Linked DNA regions of Diceros bicornis minor. The protein of the gene in region 1 purifies or fractionates together with the protein of each later gene. This does not show direct contact. Links are inferred from orthologs where the notes say so. Each region holds a gene or a part of one and is shown on either strand. Other genes may lie near its edges.

Region 1 (3,746 bases):
TTTAAACTAGGCCCACTTCTCTGTCCTGGGCCAACTCCCCTGTGCACTATATTCCTTCTTCTTCCAGATGCCAGGTATTCGGCCTGTTTCTTCTCTTCTGAGCTGCCACCACCTACTCTATTTCTCAGGGTTCCTCTAACCCCAAGACTGGCTGTGGAGTAGGACACCAGCTTCCCCCCTTCCTTGCTGTCCCTGCAAATAAACATATAGGCTCTTCTAGTTTCAGTATTTTTCTAATGGCTACAAGACAATAGAGAGGGAACAACAAAAAGCAACAATATCGTACCAGAAATTAAGATTATAATAATTGTCTCCACTTTAAAGTTCCTGCCTCCAAAAACCAAATTTTCTGAAAATGCTTATTGAGCAGTTTAAAAAGTACAAAGTACTAACATAGATATACAAATATAATCTAAACCCAATGCAACCTTAAGATACTCTGCTTTTCAACATACTTTACTCACGGGTCCAAAAATAGTTACCACATTAGTTTCAGCAAATAGGTACTTTTTTCTCTTTAAAATATTCAGTTAAATTCCCTTGAATTTAGTAGATGTATGAAAGTTTGCTTTTTAAAGGATATCATGAAAAACGTTCAATATATTTTATCTAATGTAAATGAGAATTAATATACAAAAAGCGTATTACGATTTACAAAAAACCAGGTATGTCAAAAGCAGCTGGCTTCACTAAGCAAATCTTAAAATTTTAAGGTACTGCGAACCAATTCTGTCTTTAAATTTTAAAAATTAAATAAAATGCTGTAAATGCTGTTTACAAATCTGGATATCTCATTTTTAGAAATCTAACTTCTAATGAATATATAAATCTAATGTCAATGTCATGTAGGCCTTTTATAAACAACAGTAATTCACATTAGTATACTTATACTCTGGTGATAATTTAGTTTCTAACAGACTTGGTAATTTCAAAACACGTTATCTAAATATTAGGCTATAAATCACAAGATTATAATTAATTAATTCAAAAGCTACATTCCTATAAAGGTGAAGGAACTCTGTAACTAAGTGCTGGCAGATCAAAAATGTCAATGACTGAATTTCCTGGATGATTTTCTTTATCCACTTAATTCACTTCAGTGGTTTTTTAAAACACTGAGTTATCACACTGTAAGATTACAATAAAATAAAGGCTAAAAATAGACAAAGATCATTTTATTTCATTTGTATAGTCTAATAGATTGCCATTTAATCAAACTAAAGATATTCAGATACTTTCCGTAAAAATGTGTCTCTGTGACTAAGCTCACCTCCAACTATTTATTTATAAAACATTAGAGAACTAGAATAAACACACTAAACAAAACCTTGATCTGACCCCTCCAGACATTTACATAAAAAAGGAAGTTTAATTTATTGTGTATTCTATAAGCAGATACTACGTTTTTGAGGAATGAAAGTGAATTACATCTTTTGCTCTTAAAGACAGTTTCATGATTTTTCTTTGATTCCTACACACTAACACAACAATGCAGCCAAGGTTATTATATCCGGAATGGGGGGGGGGGCATTACACCCAGCGATAGGAATTAAATCGCAGTAGCTAATGCCTCCCTTAAATAATTTATTCTCTCTTGGCTGCAAAAAACGTGACAGCCTCTTCAATTACCCCTCACCGCAAACCATCGCTTGCGTCGCGATCAATCTGACCCAGTTCCTATCGGGGCCACCACCTCAGTGTCGCGTCCTCGCGCCGGGTCTGCGAGTGTCACGGGAGGGGGCGGCGGCCGCGGGGGCGTCCTCTGCGCCGCGACCGGAGGCCGGCGGCGCGCGGGGCAGGCCCGGGACTCACCGGGTGGAGGTGCCCTTCCGCACATCGCACATCATGCACTTGAAGGCCTCGGCGCTGTTCCGGAAGGTGCAGACGCTACAGTCCCAGTACCCCTCATCCGAGGACGGCTTCGGCTGCCGCTTCGGCCTGCAGGACACAACCCGGACACGACGCGGCGCGGGGTCACCAGCAGGCCGCGCCCGGGCCCCGCGGCCGCCCCCACCCCGCCCCCCGCCCCCATTCCGCGCCCCCCGCCCCGCGGGCCCCCGGCGCGCCGCGCCCCGGCTCGGAGGGGCAGGGGGTCTGGAAGGCGGAGGGCGCGAGCGCGGCCGCAGTCGCCGCCGCCGCTCCGACACCCCGGGCTGCCGCTCCGGCCGCCGCCATCGCGGCTCCATTGTGGGGCGGCCGGCGCCGGCCCCTCACGCGGCAGCGCTCACGCGGCAGCGGCGCCGCCCCCGTTCTCGCCCCGCTGCCCTGGCGGCGAGCTGGGCGGCCGCCCGAAGCCGGGGTCGGGGGCCCCGCCGCCTGCACGCTGCGGGCCCGGGGGCCCGGGCGCCGTTACCTGGTGGGGCTCTTCTTGTCTCCCATGGCTTGGCTACCAGCGCACGCCCAGAGTCGCCGCCGCGGCCGCTCTGTTTGTCAATAAGGAGGATGAAAAGCCGGGCGGAAGCGGGCGGGGAGGCGGGAGGGGGCGGGGAAGGCCGCACCGCCGAGCTCGGGAGCCGCCGCCGGAGCCCACGCAGCCTCCAGCTGTCGGGGAAACTCCTGCCTGCGCGCACGTGACCCGCGCCCGCCAACCGGCGGCCGCGCCGGAGACTTCAAACGCGGCCAGCGCGGCCCAGCGCCCGCGGCAAGTTCGCGGGCGGGGAGGGCGGGGGTGGCCGCTGCAGCCGCGGGCGCCGGCGCCGCCTCGCTGCCCGGCTCCTCCCGGCTGGCCCCGGGGCTGCCACGCGCTCCGGAGCCCCTGTTGCGGGGAAGCGTCCGTCCTGCCGCCGGCGGGGGATGCTCCGTCATCCCGCACGAAGCCTGGTCCAAGGTGGGCCGGGCGTTCGGAGGTCAGCCCAGCTCGTGACGAGTGGGCGGCCGCGCTCCCCAGGTAGAACCGCTCTCCCGGCCTCGCCTGTCCTTGGATGCTCGGCTCTGGCCCCGAAGGGTACCTGGGGGAAGGTGGGAGTCACCAGGGAGCGTCATTGCTAGGTGTTTTAAGACACTGTCTGGTTTTATGCACACACATGCTCTACCAGGTACAGACTGTCGCCGTTAATTTTGAGAAAACGAAACCGAGGCTCAAGAAAGGTTAGGTGACTTCCTCTATATTACATAATTAGGAAATGACAAAGCCAGGAATCTAACACTGCTTGAATTTCAAATGCGCTCCTTTGGCCTCCCAGACCTCTAGAGTAGCTACTTAAAAAAAAAAAAAGTTCACCTCATACCTGTTAGAATGGCTATTGTCAAAAAGATAAGAACCAACAGCATGTGGAGGAAATGAGCTCTTGTACACTGGCCCTTGTACACTGTTGATGGAAATGTAAATTGCTGCAGCCGTTATGGAAAATGAAGGTTCCTCAAAATAGCATAAAAATATTGAAAATAAATAAAATTATTCAGCAATTCCACTTTTGGGTATTTATCCAAAGAAAACAAAAACACTAACTTGAAAAGGTATTTGCACCCCCACTTCATTGTAGCATTATTTTGTAATAGCCAAGATATGGAAACAACCTAAGTGTCCATTGATGGATGAATGGATAAAGAAAATTTGGGGTGTGTGTGTGTGTGTATGCAATGGAATGTTATTCAGCCATAAAAAAGAAAGGAATCTTGCCATTTGTGACAACATGGATGGACCTTGAGGATGTTATGCTAAGTGAAATAAGTCAGAGAAAGATAAATACCATATGATATCAGTTATATGTGGAATCTGAAACAAAACAAAATCAAGCCCATAGATA
Region 2 (3,746 bases), on another chromosome or scaffold:
AACCCAGGCCCCGCCGCCACCTAGGGGTACCCCTTACCCTACGGTTCCTGCACCCCGACACCGGGGAGAAAGCAGCCCTGAAGAGCACCCGTCGCACCTCCCCTCTGAGGTTGGAGGGTATTTTCTCCCAGTCTCTTCAAGACTTCATCACGGACAGCCCCCCCCCCAAAAAAAAACAAGCCCTTTCTCGCCCTGCCCTGCTGGCCAGCCTCCCTTCGGATCGTCGGATCCTTGGATCAGGGGGTTGGGGTCAGGTAGTTAACAAGACCGTAGCCTCCACCTCCCTTTCTGAGAAGTGGGGTAATTCCAATGGTCCCCCTCGCCCAGGATCAACCCGACCCCCGTTTCCATGGAGACCCCCGCCCAGCCAGGAAGAAGAGTCTCGGATCGTGGCGAACAAGTCTCACCTGGCTAAGGGAGAAGGGGGTGAAGAGGGGGTAGGGCAGGGCAAGGATGGGGTACGAAGGTGGGAAGTGGAGGGGAGCTGTCCCGAAGGGAGGGGCGAGGACAGAGCGAGCTCCAGGGAGCGCTACGTCCGGGGACACGAAGAGGACGGCGCCCCCGGGGGGCAAGCAGCACGGCTGCGGGGCGAAGAAGGGACAGCGTTGGGGAAAGGTTTAAGATAGAAAGAAGCGGGTGGGGGATACGAGAAAGCCGGGGAGTCAAAAGGGGTGGAGGGGTTGGGGGAGAGAAAAAAAAGACGCACCTGTTCCCGGGTCGGCTCCGCGGGGAGGTTCAGGCCGCCACCCGGGCTCCCTCTTACCCCGTCTGAGCCGCCACCCGCCTAATACTGCTCCGATCTGATGCCCCCCTCCGCCCCTTATCGCCACCGACCTCCTTCTCCTCTCTCGGCGGCGGCGGCGGTCGGACTCTAGGAACTGAGAGGAAGAAGGGAGGGCTCGGCAAAGCGGAGGAGAGACAGAGCCACACACTGGCAGCAGCCGCGGCGAGCGAAAGAGTGAGGGGGAGAGCGGTGTGTGTGTGTGTCTGTGTGTGCGAGCGAAGCCTGGTGGAGTGGGTGCCGGTCGCAGGGCTCGACGGGAAGTGGAGTCCGGCCAGGTCCGCGGGCGGCGCCAGCCCCCGCTCCGTGGGACTACAACTCCCAGAATGCCGCCTGCCCGGTGGGGGGGAGGAATGGGGAGGAGGAGGCGAAGGGAGGGAGGGAGCGAGAGGGAGGGACGAAAGCAGGGAGCAAGCGGCGGCGAAGGGGGCAGAGCCAAGCAGCCCCGGTGACACTGGGAGGGGAGGGGAGGAGGGGATCGCTGCGAGGACCGAGCGGATTCCGGAGAGGGAGGCAGCGTTGGCTGCAGCAAGCCAGGCAAAAAGCTAGACTCCCAGGAGAGGCGGAGGCGCTCAATCCGAGGGACTGCAAGAGCCCCACGCCCCCCCCCCGGATCGACGCCCCTCGAAGGGGGAGGTTGAGGAAGGGAAAAAGATTAGTGCGCCACGGCCAGGGGTTTCTCTCTCTTTCTTCCAACGCTCTCCACCTTATGCCCCAACCTGACTTTCTCAGGCCACTGGTGCCCGATCTAGTGTGCAAACCCGGAGACCCCAGATCTTCCCTGCTGGGCAGCACAGAGCAGACGCATTCAGTCCCCCTCTCCCAGGGGCCTGAGGGAGGCTCCTCTTGCTAGCAGGGCGTGACTCCCCCCTTCTTCCCGCCCCCCCCCACCCGTCGTCGCCACCCCCCCATCTCCCTCCCCGGAACCCCTCCCCTGAAGCCGGGGCTCGTGTCTCCCTCCCCGCCAAGAAACGGAGTCCCTCCGGGGTCGACTACCCAGCCCCCTCCCTTATACAAGGCCCCTTCCCACCAGTATCCCCTTCTTAGCTTTGCCCCCCTCACCGAAGAAATAATGGGGGCGACCTGAGTTGGACTGGTGGCTACTTTCCCTCCGAGACTAGCCGTCCTTGGCCACGCCGACCCTGTGTAGAGATAGAGAAGCACATTAATACTCCCGTTCTCCCCCTCCAAGTTCGGATCCCCGTGGAAATGGCTCACAAGGAAAGAGGGGTTGGTAGTGGAAGTGAGCTGGGGGTGAATCCCAATCCTCAAACCTCATCCCAGGTGTGGAAATCCAGGGATTCGTCCCTTTCCTTAAAAGCCATCAAATCGCTTGGGGGGGGCGTTAGTGGGGGGTAGATTATCTAAACCCCAATGTCCACGCGACTCGAAGCGACGCTCCATGTAGGAATAAGATACGAACTAGGCTGCCGCCGCGGGAGAGAAAGTATACCCCCCCCCGCCGTCGTCCACCCCCAAACACATACCCCTAGGAGAGTCAGATGGTCGAGGAAGCGGGGTAGGCGGTGGGAGAGCTGCAGAGTGAAAGGGTTTGGCGGGGAGGGTCCGAGGCCCCCTGAGAGCAGAATCCAGATGCTAAGAGGTGGGTGGGGGGTGCGGCATAATTGCAGACGGTGTCTTTCCTCGCTTTTCCCGGAATCGCCGCCGAACACCGTCTAACACTCGTAGTTGCTTACCAGTCTGTCCCCTAGCCCCATTTGTGCGCGTGAGGCGGCCGGAGCCCGGGAAGCCTGGGCACAAACTCCGCGGAAGCTGGCCTTCGCCTCCGCCGCGCTGCCGCGGGCCTCCCTCCCTCCGCTGGCGGCCCCGCCGATCTACCTTCGCCCCCGGCCGAGGCCAGACCCCGCTCGCAACTCCACGCCCCTACTCCACCCCCGGCTCCCCCTCCCCTCGCCCTCTCCCCGCTGGTCCGGCCCAGCCCCTAGCGCCGCCCCGCCCTACCGCTCGGTCCCGAGCCCAGCAAGTGCCCCGAACTCGCCCCCCGCCCCCACGCCCAGGCCAGTCCGGCAGGGCCTGGTTTCCCCCTCCCGCCGCGCCCCGCCCCCGAATCCACGTCCTACTTCGCCACCCAACTCGGCCCGGTCCGGGTTCGGCCCGCGCCCAGGCCACCGGAGTCCCCGGTTCGGTCCGGTGTGCGGCCACCCACTCCGCCCTTGCCTGGGTGCTGGCCTGGCCCGCTGCCTGCGCCCGCCGAGCCGGCCCAGGCGCGCGGTACGGGTCCGGATCCCGGTGCCGGCCTCGGTCCCGGCGGCTTTGCCGCGTCTCGCCACGAGGGCTTGGTCCACGCAAGATTCGAACCCGCGCGGGGTGGGGGCCGCAGAAAGCAAGTTTCTTTATCTTTCCTCCGCCCCCACCGCAGGGCCGCGCTGTCCCCACCCACCCACCCACGGCGCCCCCTTCACCTGGGCAGAGCCCCCCGGCCACTGTCGCAACTTTGCTCTTCTCCACGCCGCCGGGGAAGCGGGCGCAGCGGGAGGAGGAGGGAGGTGGCGGGGGGTGCTGGGATCAGGCCGCTGGGCTCCGGGAGGACACGTGGGGGAGGAGGGGAAGGAGGAGGAGGAAGGGGGGGCGGGCCTGCAGTTCTCGGGGCTCCCCCTGCCAGCCCCGGGGAAGCCGGAACCTCGCCGGGCAGCCGCAGACCCCGCACTGGCCACGGGGGAAGAACGGAGCCACCTTCCCCCGCCAGCCCCCGGCTCCAGGAAGGGGGGGCGAGCAACGCTGCTCGGGGTCGGAGAGCGAGCGTTTTTGCTCGTGCTTTATGTGTGACTCTCTCTCCGTTTAGCCTCAGTGTATGGGGGGGCGTAGGGTCTCGCAAGCCAGGGGGGGCGCCCCCAGCGGACGCCCCGCCCCTCCCCCGACCCCCCACTTCCCTAACCCGGGCGACCTCGGTGCATTGCTCTGGCGCTCGGGCACCGAGGCCGCCCGCGGGCGCAGCCCCAGCCCC
Region 3 (3,746 bases), on another chromosome or scaffold:
CTTAAATGAACATCCTTGTAAACTTACCAATTAGTGCCTTAACAAAGAAGAAGAGCTACTGAGTCAAAGGACATACAGGTTTTTAATGCTTTCAATAAGTATGGCCAAAATTCCCTCCAGAAAGGATGATCAAATGTAAATATCCACCAACAGCAGTGTATGAGTGTGCCAATTTCCCCACTCCTGTGCCAATACCAGGTACTAACATTTTGCTACATATATGCCAATCTGTCAGACTGGGGGAAAAAAGGTTGTTTTGTGTTATTTGTTTATAAGTGAAAAATAGTATTTTTATCTTTATTGGTTATTTTTATTTCTGTGTGTGTGTGATCTACCTATTCATGTCTTTTACCTATCTATTAGATATTAAGGTTATTAACCCTCTAGGTTCAACAGATGGTGCAAATGTTTTTCTCCATAATCTGCCTGGCTTTGCTCATCACTGGATCCCTTACACCTGAAAAACTGCCTGGCACATAATAAGCACTCAATAAATATGTTAAATGAATATTGAATGAATAAATTTATCTTTTTAACTTTATGGTGTTTTTGCCAACTACAAGTTATTTTATGCAACAATTCTATCAATGTTTGCCCTTATGGATTCTGCCTTTGCAGTCATGCTTAGAACAGTTCATCCTATTTAAGACTGAAAACCTGTTTACTCATTTCTTTCAAGTGGTAATTTTCTGACTTCACATTTTATACTTGAATATTTAATTCACCTGGATTTTATTTTATTTACATTTTAAGGATTCCATTTTTTTAAATGGTTAGCCAATTATTCTAACACAATGCCAAAATTCTTTCTGAACTAATATAAAATGCCACCCTTATAATACTAAATAGCCTTATATATTTCTAGATTATTGTTCCACTGCTCCGTCTACTCCCGAGTGACTACTTATTGTTTTGACTATCATGGCTTTATTCATATATTCACTATACAAGGACTCGCCCTCACTTTTCTCTTTCAAAATTTTTCCTACTTTACAGGTTCATTCTTCCAAATGAACTTTAGAATCATTTTGTCAAATTTTCAAAAGGAATTCTGGTAGGAATTCTGTAAAACTCCATAAAATTATCAGCCATATGACCTTGTGCAAATCACTTAGTCTCTCTGTTGCTATTTCCCTCACTGGAAAAATAGAGATAATAGTACTTACCTCATAGGTTTGTTATGATAACTAAACGAATTAAGACACAAAGTACCACACTAGAAAGATGTTAACTATTATTATAATTGTTCAAAAGTGATAACTATTAACAGTCATTGCTCAACAAATATTTTCCAGATTGTGCTCCCACACAATTCAAAGGCTCTTTAAGATACATCAAAGGGTAGCATAAAACATAAGCAGTGATATGAAAAATATATAATTTATGCCTGCTTCATTTCGCCAAGGCCTTGATCCTTGGTAAAATGAAGAGCTGGAACTGGAAGCAGAGAACCATGAAAAATACCAATGGCTGGTGGCAGAAAGCGTCAAAAATTTTAAAGATTGGCCCACCAAACAGAGACTTCTAGGTCCTTCTAGTCAGCCTTATACGGCATCAGCAAGTCCCTTCTAACTACTTCTGTTTCCTCATCTCCATAGTTAACGACAACACTACTTATCCTTTGATTTCTTTCCAGGAAACACATAGGGACTAGACGTCTAAAATACAGCATACTTTTCAAATGAGACTGTGGCCAGATATAAATGCCACTTGATAAATATGGACAGACGTGCCCAATACAAATTACCTCCACCAGGTTTCTTACATAACTGTAATGACGAGTTGGATTGTTGTGGGTTTTTTCCTGTGGGGAGACGGGCTTGTCTCATAATTGTTAATAATTTGTTCATTGTTAATTCTTTTGTTATCTACATGACATTGGGATTGGGTAGAGGTCATACGCCATATGAAGGCCCTTAAAAAAAAATAATCTCCTATATAGAGCTGTAATATAAACGAAAAAATAGAGACCAACAGGGCAACACGACTTGCTAATTGCAAAACCACCAAAAGCCTAGGTCTTCTGATTCTCACACCAGGGCTCATTCCACCACACCACACAGCCTCTCGCCGACGCCTGCCACGCTTCGAGATGGGAGGAGTAAAAGCAGACAATCCGGCCGCCGCAAGGCCCTTGAAAGCCACAGGACGGCGCAGTCGAAGCCACGTGACTGGCCTCTCCCCTCCCCCTCCCCCGCGCCAGCAGCACGCGCTGCCAACCTCGTCATGTGACCTTCACGCGGCCCCAGCGCTCCCCCTACTAGGCGACTGTTTCCAGCAGCCATTTTGCCGAGAACTTGTCGTCCGTGCTCACCGCAGAGCAAGACGCCACGAAAACCCGTGGCCAGATTCTACAGGCCGCACACGCGCCTCGAAAGAGCGCTCAGACCGTCAGGGCTGAGCCGAACCTCACTGAACACGTCGCACCCCGGGGCGCTGGGGAAAGCTGTGGGTGCGCCTCGGCCTACAATTGGCTGGGGCGTCCACGTGACGCATCGCCCCCCACCCTCTCCTTCCCCCCTACCCACAAAAACACCCAGACAGGCTCTTAACACCTCCCGCCAAATACACGCCAGTGGGCGCGTGGGGACCAAAGCGCCTGCGCATACCTGCCAGGGCCGACCGGAGCGGGCCCACGCGCCGCTCTGCTCACGGGTCCGGGAATCCTCGCGCTGCTGGACCACCCGGCTAGTCATTGGTTGCCAGGTTAGGTCACGTGTTCACCTCAGGCCCTCCCCTAACCGCTAATCACCTGGCACCGTGCTCGAAGCGGCGGCGAAAGTCATTCGCACGCGGAAAGAGAGGGTAGTTAGAGGACCTTCTTTTCTGCCGTTATGAGGTTACATTAATAAAGAGGAAACAAGAAAGCAGGGTCTCGAAACTAAGTAAGCTCACACCTACCGGTCTAACTTCGCGTGCCCCTCCAGGAGCCGGGAACCATCGCCCTTGGGCGCTCCCCGATGCACGCCGGGATACGTCTGGCGCCCCTCAGTGTGCTGCAGAGCATGCCGGGAAAAGCACCTCTCCCGATCTCCTGGCTCTCACCTCCCGGGTGTTCTTTTCTTGTCCCCGTGAAAGCCCGGTCCTTGGGCTGGGAATGAGGCGATTTGGGTAATTATGGGAGTGTGACTGGATGTAACAGGCACTTTCAGTCCCCCTTCCCCTACTTGTTCGATCTGTGTGGTCTTAGGGAAGCCGCTTACCTTTCTTCGTGGAGCGTGCATTTAGTCAGTGCCTGCTGAGTGCCCTTGTAAATATTGCAAAAAACAGCAAAGGTATTTGCCTACAAGTAAACTATCAGCCTTTCGTGGTAAGTGGAAAAGAATGCTAATTTAAATACGACTTACTACAAACCCCACTAGGGAGTGGAAATAATACTTAGAATTTCTCTTGGGATAGAAGACCAGACCTTTCCTGGGAAACTTACTGCTATTGTAGGAAAAATGGGTGTGGGAAGAGCAGGAGGCATTTTAAAGGGGCCAGAGAGGTGGCCCTATTACATTTTCTGGTTCAGCCTAATCTAGCTATGGTATTTTGGAACCAAGAAAAGCACCGCCTGCTAACGGTGAGAAAACGTGGTCGTATATCAGGAGGAATTAATTTTGTAATGTATTCGCAAACCGACCCCCATGCTAATACCTGACATTCTACTCCCATGAAACCCCCAATGAAAACAATTCATACCTCTTCTGCCTTGAACTCCATTCCTCAGCTTTGCTGATTTGAAAACTTTCTTTTTTCGGTTA

What was found.
Region 2: the proteins of YAF2 (region 1) and BCORL1 purify together in Homo sapiens (affinity purification with mass spectrometry; 5 studies listed by BioGRID and IntAct, counting the BioPlex papers as one, with this or other methods). This does not show direct contact. The link is inferred for Diceros bicornis minor from reciprocal best matches to the Homo sapiens genes YAF2 and BCORL1.
Region 3: the proteins of YAF2 (region 1) and MGA purify together in Homo sapiens (affinity purification with mass spectrometry; 5 studies listed by BioGRID and IntAct, counting the BioPlex papers as one, with this or other methods). This does not show direct contact. The link is inferred for Diceros bicornis minor from reciprocal best matches to the Homo sapiens genes YAF2 and MGA.

Annotation. Positions count from the first base shown.
Region 1 is NC_080756.1:26,722,357-26,726,102, reverse strand, and holds the start of YAF2 (YY1-associated factor 2), read right to left. Parts: upstream 2,506-3,746; 5' UTR 2,380-2,505; coding exon 2,354-2,379; intron 1,939-2,353; coding exon 1,813-1,938; intron 193-1,812; exon of another isoform or gene 1-192. UniProt on the Homo sapiens protein: Binds to MYC and inhibits MYC-mediated transactivation. Also binds to MYCN and enhances MYCN-dependent transcriptional activation. Increases calpain 2-mediated proteolysis of YY1 in vitro.
Region 2 is NC_080781.1:118,704,446-118,708,191, reverse strand, and holds the start of BCORL1 (BCL-6 corepressor-like protein 1), read right to left. Parts: upstream 2,582-3,746; 5' UTR 2,269-2,581; intron 1,924-2,268; 5' UTR 1,865-1,923; exon of another isoform or gene 1,844-1,864; intron 973-1,843; exon of another isoform or gene 707-972; intron 1-706. UniProt on the Homo sapiens protein: Transcriptional corepressor. May specifically inhibit gene expression when recruited to promoter regions by sequence-specific DNA-binding proteins such as BCL6.
Region 3 is NC_080744.1:39,273,779-39,277,524, reverse strand, and holds the start of MGA (MAX gene-associated protein), read right to left. Parts: upstream 2,658-3,746; 5' UTR 2,610-2,657; intron 1-2,609. UniProt on the Homo sapiens protein: Functions as a dual-specificity transcription factor, regulating the expression of both MAX-network and T-box family target genes. Functions as a repressor or an activator.